2 linked regions of the Neodiprion lecontei genome follow. The protein of the gene in region 2 purifies or fractionates together with the protein of the main gene of each other region. This does not show direct contact. Links are inferred from orthologs where the notes say so. Each region holds a gene or a part of one and is shown on either strand. Other genes may lie near its edges.

Region 1 (5,055 bases), on a different chromosome or scaffold from region 2:
GGAAGCTTTTTAAAACCTCCTCTTGTTTCCGATGTTGAACCTCCATGTCATGAGCAGAGCTTGTTCCCTCAGGATTCTTTTCAATTGTATAAAGTGGGGAGAGAAATTGTAAATCTTTGTCATACTTACAAGCGTCCTGGAGAAAAATAATCAACTCTTTGTAATTATATTTAGTTTATGACAAGTATTTGTATACCCAAATCTCACAAAAATGTAATATTAGGTTTGGAATGTTAGAATAACTTTTGTTGTGTCTTCTTTGTTTTTATGTAAAGAGTAAAGATATTAAAAGCAACAAAAACTTACATTCAATAGATAAAATAATATTTTTGCTGTAAATCCTTTATCCACAAAAATAACTCCGCACAACAGATCTGGATCAATTTGAGTACGTGGATACCGTGATTTTGGAGGTCTTTTAATACCAGTTCGTAGCTTTTTGACATTTCCAATGTATTTTGATTGTTGGAGGCCATCTTTTCCAGTATCAATGTCTTTCTTGCAGGCAGATACACCTTAATTAACAATGCATAAGGATATGGTTAATTATGAAACCACTGTTTCAACAGTGTCAAATGTTTCAACGTACTGTGTCCATTGCTCAGTTTGTTGTCTGGGATAGTCAATTCTTTTTTGCTGGATGGGGCATAACACTTGAGTATATGCAATAGTCGATGAACACATGGAGTGGAGAATTTGTATAATTTTTCTCTTTCGCTCAAATTTTCAAATTCACTTTCACAAATAGCTCTAGAAACCAAACAAACCATAATGTCTCGGTTTTTGTATTATATCAATTATAACCAAATGTATAAATTAGAATTGAGGGTAGAAGTGAAGAATCTACAGTGGCAAATCTGTTGGAGGAGTTTGACTACTCAATACTTGATATTTCATGAAACACATACCTTATTTTAATAAACAAGGAAACCACAACGTTGAATAATAAGTAGTGTCGCTCATAAGGGGTTTTTACTTTCAGCTTTTCTGCTTGAATTAGCAAAGCTAGAGCAGCGTGATTGGCGCACCAAGCCCCGAATGTTTGAAGTACGTACAAAAAGTCTTCTATCATTGAGCAAGGTTCCTGTTTAGGATCAGGAATCTTCTGTATGTCCTCGAGGAACTCATCGTTGTAAATTTCAGTGGGATCATAGCGATGATCACACAAAAAGTTCATAGCATGCATAGCACAGTTCTCCAGAGTCTGGTTTAATTCTTCATATTCGCCACATTTGTATTCTACAATGTACTCTTTTGGTTTTGGACTATATCTGAATCAAAATTGAATACATTCTTATTTTACACAAAACATAGTAATTGAGTGAACAAAGTGAAACAAACACAATAAGTAAGAAGATACAAACCTTAATACTGATACAATATCACTGGCTGTTTCAATTCTACAATGAAAGGTTTTTTCCAAAAGTTCAACTTCTGCTTCCAGTCGTCCTGGCTGACGAGTTAGATTAAAAACTGGTGCAGCAAAACCAATTAGTCGAGGACCGTTAGAGACATTAAATTTTTGTAAAACAAACTTTAGCTTTTCATCATTGACTGCTTTGTGGCATTGGTCTACAATTGCCAAATTTATTTGACTTGGATAAATTTTATTCTGATTCAACAGATCTGCACAAACATGTGATGTAGTAACAATCACCTTTAACAAATAAAATAAATCTGTATCAACAAATATGAACACAAATGATACAGACTTTATGTAGATTTAAATAACTTGTAAGATTTTCGTAAAAATGAGACATACATCAATCATGCTGTTGTTTTACATCACAATATTGGACGTTGATAAAATAGACTGCTATATAACACTTGTATATTTGATAATTGTGCGCTACTTTTTTGAGGAAGATTTGAACAAAGATCGAGTCTCTTAAAATAAAGACTTGTATTTTGAAAATCATACAGATATTACAGAATTACCATATTGAATAACTGGTTGAAAATTGAAATAAAATTTATATCGTTGATAACATATATCACCTGACTTTCAGCGAATTTTCTATCGAACTCTGGCCATGTCTCAGAATCACAGATAAGTACGCGTAGATCTGTTAATTGTTGTATATATACAGCTTTGGTTAAACATCGATCTGTATCTCTTAGAATGTATACTGAGCGCTTGCCTCCTTCTGACGGAGATCTGTGAACAGATGGAACTCAAGTTATCCAAAGATTTGAAGATGAAAAAACAACAATTGTAAAGAGAAACGACATAGCTTTACCTTCTGTTGTTAGTCGCCAACTCTTGAATTAGTTTGATAACAATAAATATTTGTTCAGAATTTTTTCCTAGACAAACTATTATGTTGCTCTCTAAAGCTGCGTAGAGGAGCTCCACCTAGCATAAAAAATTTTCACAAGGCACTAATTACTTCGATTTGTACAACTTGTTGAAATAAATAATGGAATTCAAAATGTAATTTGAAAAATGTAATTTAAAAAATGTAATTTGAGTAATGATAAACGAACTTTGGAAATTAGTTATCACTACATGTATGTTTTAGAATTATGTCTTATTTACTCACTTGATATTCTCTAGGAGAGAAAGACTTAGTATGAACTTGATCATTTAATGGAAATGCCATGGAGATTGTAGTAATGAAATGTTTTTATATCGTTGAACGTATAAAACCCAATTACGGGTTGTTTGATTTATCAAAAAACTAGCAAAACGTCAATAATAACGTAAATCAAGGTGAAACCTTATCGAAATGTGCACTCTAGACGAATAACAGTGTTGTACGGCTATTTTTATACGAAAAGATTTGACCAAATTTTAGGTTATTCTGCTTGTCAAATAATCGGCGGCACACAGATCTGTCTTCGCGATGTGAACCATAATTAATACATAGATTGGAACTCTCTAAAAACATTTGTTTATTTGCTCTAAAGAGCTGGTAGTAACCAGCATCTGGTATTGACAATCGGAACTGATATTTAAAGAGGCTGTGTACTCCAATAAATTGGTACGTATGTATACAATCAAATAAAAAAGTACATACAATCGGTAACTCTTCGAATAGTAGGCATATCATGAGCCTGAAAGGTGCGTTTACATTGGAGCTTCAATGTAGACGCACCTTAAAGCCTCACGGGGGCGCCATGCTCGATTTCGACGTGACGTATAGGTATATGTCAATGCAAAAAAGGGCTCACAGCCCGTTCTACCTATATGCGTTTTTGAACAGACACACACCAATTCATTTTCATTCGATGCAGAAATAAAGAAATTCCATGCATTGTAGAAATCTTTGTTTAGAATGGCGTATAGAATGGGGCTGTTGAAACCCTTGTTTACATTTGAGATGCGTGGACTTCGATATTTAGAGGTATATATGTCAACGTCGAAATCGAGCAAGGCACCCCCTTAGAATACGAAAAAAATTGCTAAAAATGGTAAGCACGACGTGACGCGAGTAGCAATAAAAAATTGTCAAGATTTGAACAAATGACAGATTATATGTACAAAAGAACGCATAATAGCACATCCCCGGTTTTTCTGCGTTGCTGGCTCGCATTCAGTATATATATATATTTCACTGTTCCATTCTAGACTAAAGAAGCGAGACATTGAAATCACATTAATTATATTATTTATAAATATGTTGCATACAAATAATAATAAGCTGTAAAACCCTCGCTCGTTAAAGCTCGCTCGGGGTCGGATGCCTAGTGCAGCTGGTTTTTATTCTTGTGCGCTCGCTTACTCGTTGTTAGTGTTTTACCAGATGATACGAAATTAATGAGATACCTCAGGCCCTCACTGCTCACTGCACAGTGCAGGAACTACGAAGCACTGGTCCTGGAGGTCGAAATTCACTAGGTAGCGAACCTGGAGCGCAGGCACCATAGAAAATTACTCGTAACGGTCAAAAGTCAACAGGTCAAGGACCTGGACAGCCAGAACTACGGAGTGCTTGTCTCTGAAGTCCAGTTTCTCCAGGTAGAGGACTTTGAGCGCAGAAACTACGGAGCGCGAGTCCTGGAGGTCGAGATCCACCAGGTGGAGGACCTGGACAGCCATAACTACAGAAAATTAGTCCTGAAGGTCAAAAGTCACCAGGTCAAGGACCTGGATCGCCAGTCCTATTGAGTGCTTGTTCCTGAAGTAGAGTTTCAACAGGTAGCGGACCTGGAGCGCAGAAACTACGGAGCGCTTGTCTGGGAAGTCGAGTTCCACCAGGTAGCGGACCTGGAGCGTAGAAACTACGGAGCGCTTGTTCCGGAACTCGAGTTGCACCAGGAAGCGGACCCTGAGCGCAGGATCCAGGAGGTGGAGAACCCGGTACTCGAAATTTGCGGAGCCCGATTCTCATCCGTCCGCTCTACTGCGCGGTTGTTTTCAGAATGATGAATTCGGTTAGCTGATTTTCGTCGTCGACGATTACTATAGATCGATGACGTCAGAGAAAAAAATTTCGGTGACGTCACTTTCTGAACATCCGAACATCCAAATTCTGGTTTTGAACTTTAATACTATGTATGATGTATAAATATGTTGCATACAAATATAATACCTATGTACATACGTATATATATATATTTACAGTTTATTTTACATAGTTAATACATGGTCGCTTGAGTAAGATCTTTATACCTATTGTCCCATAGATATTTAATTATTTCGACAAATCCTTCTTAGAAGCAGTTTCGTTAGATCATCAATAAATTACTGACGGGAAATTGTCAGAGTGAAATAAAATATATCTTCACTTATTGCAAAGAACTACATAATTGAATTATTTGCGATTTGCGGATTGTGTCAAGTACTTTTGGTCATAAGGTAATTCATTTCTAAAGCAAGCTCTGTTCGTGTTATTATTCACCATCAAATATATTCATGAACGTTCCGATCCACTATCTGAACTTGAGAAATCATAATGGACTAAGGGCAGGTTTTGTTGACGAGTAGATGTAGACTTTCTATCAGACTCTGAAGAAGATTCGTTACCAAATAGTTGTTGGTCTTGTTTTTGTTTCATACGTTTCACTTCAATTCCTATTGATTCACGCGATAGCTTTGTCTTTGAATGATTT
Region 2 (5,066 bases):
AAACATGCGAACTCATCATCATTTCACACAGAAATAAGCGTTTTCGCGTTTGAGATGTGTGGGCTTCGATATTTGGCGATATATACTCCACCGTCGAAATCGACCAGGGCACCCCTTAACCGTATATATGTATGTACTGTCTTTTCTTTGTATTCATTCCATTGTGTAATCCAAGCACCTAATTTTTGACTGCTTACTCGTTCAGAGGCATGTATTACGAAAATAGAATTTCTTTCGACATCCAAAATTGACTTCACTTTACTCTTTAGTTTTCTGATGAGTAATAATGAAAGGCAAAATAACAATAATAATGTTATTCTAATGTACAACCGATGTAGTTGCAACAGCTGCGGTAAAAAGTACGAATACATAATGACCTGCATTGAAACGCCTGTTGTATGTTGTATGTTTACATTTTATGTACGTAATCTACACACCGTGTCTGCAATATGCGAAAAGAATTTTAGGCATTGAAATGATCACGTACTTTTGATGCAATTATTGAAATTCAATGCGATTATTGGGATCCACATTACACAAATCTATGAATTTTCTTGCTTTCTGAATTGTTGATTATAATACATCATAACTACTTGAAAATTGGATTTGGAAATTTTTAAGATCTCGGATTCATTGAATAAAAAGAAGTCGTTTGGTGTGAAAAATACGTCAGCCTTATACTCGATCTTTGTGTATTGGTTTTTTCACTTGTTCGAAACGGATCGCTCGATTTTTAATTTTATTGACGTTAGATTCGAGGGAAAGAATTTCTTCCACTGCGAAATCGAGACTATTTTGCTTTTTACATTCGTCTCCTCGCTTGTTCGAAGTAAGCAGTCAACTTTTAAAATCATGTATTCGGGATCATGGCAGGAAGAGGATTTGTCTTGAATTAGTAATTAATCAAATTGACTCAATTTTATGTTTATTCGAAATGTATTGATCGATTCGAAATTTGCCAGACTTCAAAACAGAAAAACGATGATTACTTTCTATCCCTGGTAAAAATGACCAATCGTTAAATACGATTATATTTGTATTTTTTTGGACTTACATTTGTGTAATTGTACAATAACATTCCGGATACATTTCGAATACAACAAAAACCGTTCACATCCCCGAAAAAGACAGTCTGTATTAATTTTTCCTACATTTTTACAAGGATACGCCATCCATAATACTGCCTTTTTATGTCGTTTTTTCACTCATTCGGAACGAACCGCGGGTCAGTTTCAAAGTTTGCATAGTTGAAATCACTAGGAAGTAATGACAGTTGATATGCAATATCAATTTCGCTAATTAAGTCACAAATTTTACAGTTTTTCGATAGGGCAGAAAAAAACTTTGTCTCTTAAATTGCACAATTTCAAATCGCACGAAGATAATACATTTTTATGCAAAATCAAGCACATTCAACACTTTTTAACGCGTGTCTATCACTCATCCAAAACCCACTGATTGATTCGAAATCTCAAATATGTCGGATGACATGAACGAGAAGAATACGCCGTGTGATAGGTAATTTTCGTTCATTTGTTATCAAATCCGAACTGTTCAAAAGTGGAACGGGCTACATTTGATCCACGATTTTATTAATCAGCAACATCATCACTGTGATTCGACACGAAACGAGCCGACTCAGTTTCATTGGGCTCTACAATTACACGCATAATTCCTTGTCGCGATTTTCACATAGGTATGTATAATAACCATGATATGAATCTACGCACATATCGTTGAAATTATCATTGTTATTATCATCATTGCTGTCATCATTGCGATCATCGCCATCGCATATCGTCTGCATTACACGTATAAGGAAATTTATCGTTAACGGAGGAACAATTCAAGGTCAATGCCAAAATGCTTGATTTTGTCCAAGGTGAAGTTGCCCTTGATTTGTTGCAGGAGGAGGGGGAGGGCGGGAAGTTAGGTTAGGTTAGGGGTGGAGGAAGGGTTGAGAACGAGCAAGAAATAGCGAGCGAGAGTGAGAGAGAGAGAGAGAGAAAGAGAAATAAAGATTAAGAAAAGGAAAAAAATCTGAAATAGAGACGCTACCATCCATTGGGATAATCGTGATTATATCGGTGATGATGAACACTGAAGGTAATTATTATTTCATAACGAATATTCTTCAGTAGTGGGAGGTAAAACGAGAACGTACGAAAAATACTTGGCGCGGGCTCTACTGAGTCTCTTGTATATATATCTATATATATATATGTATATAGGATTTAAATATATATACACATATAAGTATAAGTATAAATATATATATATATATATATATATATTGGATGAAGTGATGTTTTACCGTGTCATAACTATTTGCTGTATTATATAAATAATCCTGATGATTTTTTTCTGCTTATAAGCTCTAGTCAATTTTTTGATTCATGGCCGTCTTTTTTTTTTCTTAATCTTGGTTTTTCAGTTTAATTTGTATTTAATCCGATGACACGTCAGGTGTTTTTTTCTATTGTCAGGGTATAAGAATGAGGAGAAAAGAAAACGAACGGGGGGTAGGATTTGGGGTGAAACGAGTCTAAACACAGGGATACCCCACCAGCCGCCAAAAAGCGACAACCGCCGCCGACTAACCCAAGTGTCAAGGTTGCCATTTTTACTAACACTCACGTTGCTGTCATAACAATGATATTACGATCCAGTGCCGTCGATCCCGCCGCACTCGATAAACAATGACACGTAGTTTATTTTCTTGAGTACTTGTTCATCACTGTTTTAGTGATAATTAAAATGTTACATACGATTTATACTTTTACGGTTTTTGATTAGCAGGAAAAACATACGATCTCGATGTAAACGTCTCGCGGTTTCTCGTGGTTTTTGTTGTTGTTGTTGATCCTGATGGTTTGTTGCCGTATTTTTTTCCCCCCCCTCTCACCCTATTTTCGGGGAGGTACAGCCACAACAGCGTATTATATTATATATTGTACAACCGCCAGCAAGTAGATACGTTCCCGGTTAACAAGTTTGTAAGAGCTTTCGCGACATTCGCAATGCATTCTTTCAGGCGGTCAGGCTTAATCCCCACTACTTGTTCGATTCTGATCCGAGATGCGCATGACCAAGTCGCGCGCGGCCATCGCAAACCTCAGGGACGGCAAAATAAACAGGGGCAATGGGCAATAACGCGCTATTAACCGTTACTCTCCTTTTACATTTTCATTTGAAAATGTAACCGTTTCCGCACCGCTATTCTGCCCCTCTAGTTTCACCTTTTTCATCGCTTTTGACTCCCGCTCCAATTTATTCGAATTTTGAACCTACGGTTGTCTTTTTCGCGCCTTCGAATCGTTTGATTTACCAAACGATCATTGGGATCGTTTTCTAACCTATTTTTCCCCGCGCAGAGAAAAAACAGAATGAAAAATTAGTTGCCGCGTTTTTTTGTTCGATTTCGAAACGGTAATTTGGCTCGTTAACCGTTCACGGCTTCGTTGCATAATTAACAAATCACGAGTCTACCCGATTTTCACTCGTTCCTGAACGATGCATATAATCTGTCGGCCAATCAGAATCGGTTGTAAATTAACCAGGCAAACTTCACCTGACACCGTTTCGCTCTTCTCCCCTTGCAATTGCACCGAGGCTAGTAACATACCGTCGCTGTTTTGCAGTCTTATATATAGGCCGTTTAGTTTTTCTTCATTTTCTGTGTTACTGAAATCGTTTGATCTGCAAATTTCATCATTATAACCTCTTCCGATCGCGGTGTAATTCGCGTGAAATTTACGTTATCGGGGAAGTATTGAAACGGCAATAAACGTGTCAACCCGCGAGAGGGAACATTGAAATACGCTACTTTCTTCTTGCTAGCAACATCAACGTTCTATATCGATTACTGTGATATCCTATCAAGCGCTAGTGCGCCGCAAAATCTGTCCTCCCATTGGTTACAAATTTTCCCGCCGGTTACGGCCGGTCTTTCTAATTTATTTCAACATCTCGCTGTACTCTCAGGTGATTCTAGTCGGCGCTATGATTTTAAGTTACAAATGAAATGAAATGAAAAAAGGGCGAATGACATAGTTTTAATATCGAATGTAAAATTTAACACATTGCTAACGTTACGCAGCGTATGACACTGAGCTTAAGCGGTGTTGACTGCAGATGTATAAACACGGCTAGTTCTGGGTTATTTTTCGTAACGATTTGTCGGATCTGGTGGTATTAGCAGTTCAATGTATTATCAACCCAGTAGCTGACTACGCCGGTAAAACTTCATAACCAACAACTATCTGAACAAATATTCTGAAACATTTTTCACTTTGCGGATAATAAGTGGAAGACATGTTAAAATTGAAAATTTCAAACAGTTACGTACCTGGATTTCAATCAATGGAAATTATCCAAGTGCCTAAAGAAATAGATGAATGAATAATGAAATATATAATTAGATTCGTTGCAAAATACTTGAAATGAAAACTATAATTTTTGTGAATTTATTTGAAATTTTGATAAGGTATTAACATTGTTTTTAAGCAATACAACTTTTTACAGCAAAATAGATTAAATAAATTATTTCACTTTCTGCACAATATTGACGTACTTGTCAGAGTAAATTATTTATCTCAATTTTTGAAATGGTGAAATTTGAAATTTTATTATTATCAATTCAAATTTTCTCAAAGAGCCAAAAAGTTAGCAAAAAAATCCTTTCATCACGGGAATAATTTTGAAATGTTACGAATATAAATGACATAGTCGAAAAGTCCACGCTTGTTATTAAATAACTGATTTTCAAAGAAAATGATTTGCTGGCTTTCCGATCATTACATCCTGTTTCTACAGGTATTCGACATTATCCGTAACATCAATTTTTATCCTGTCGGTTGTACGTACTACCATTTTCAAAAGATCTCATAGTTATAATTATGTGACATTCCACATCAAGTGAAGTTGGACCATGTATAATTACACCTTGCACTTTTGCACATTTATTTAATTTCAAGAACTTTGAGTATACTGTTACATGTCCAAAAGAATAAAGTTGAAGGAGTTGAAGAAGTTGTTGAAAGAAAGGTGTGTGGCTGATAGCCATT

What was found.
Region 1: the proteins of protein argonaute-2 (region 2) and endoribonuclease Dcr-1 purify together in Drosophila melanogaster (affinity purification with western blotting; 5 studies listed by BioGRID, with this or other methods). This does not show direct contact. The link is inferred for Neodiprion lecontei from reciprocal best matches to the Drosophila melanogaster genes AGO1 and Dcr-1.

What each region holds. Positions count from the first base shown.
Region 1 is NC_060263.1:27,267,440-27,272,494, forward strand, and holds the start of endoribonuclease Dcr-1, read right to left. Parts: upstream 3,009-5,055; 5' UTR 2,604-3,008; coding exon 2,544-2,603; intron 2,357-2,543; coding exon 2,241-2,356; intron 2,159-2,240; coding exon 1,999-2,158; intron 1,658-1,998; coding exon 1,365-1,657; intron 1,272-1,364; coding exon 909-1,271; intron 751-908; coding exon 590-750; intron 516-589; coding exon 307-515; intron 137-306; coding exon 1-136. Other genes in the region: coiled-coil domain-containing protein 130 homolog, read right to left, coding at 4,857-5,055. UniProt on the Drosophila melanogaster protein: Endoribonuclease which functions in microRNA- (miRNA) gene silencing and, independently of its ribonuclease III activity, also acts in the short interfering RNA- (siRNA) gene silencing pathway.
Region 2 is NC_060264.1:19,737,025-19,742,090, forward strand, and holds the start of protein argonaute-2, read right to left. Parts: upstream 3,103-5,066; 5' UTR 2,811-3,102; exon of another isoform or gene 2,632-2,810; intron 1-2,631.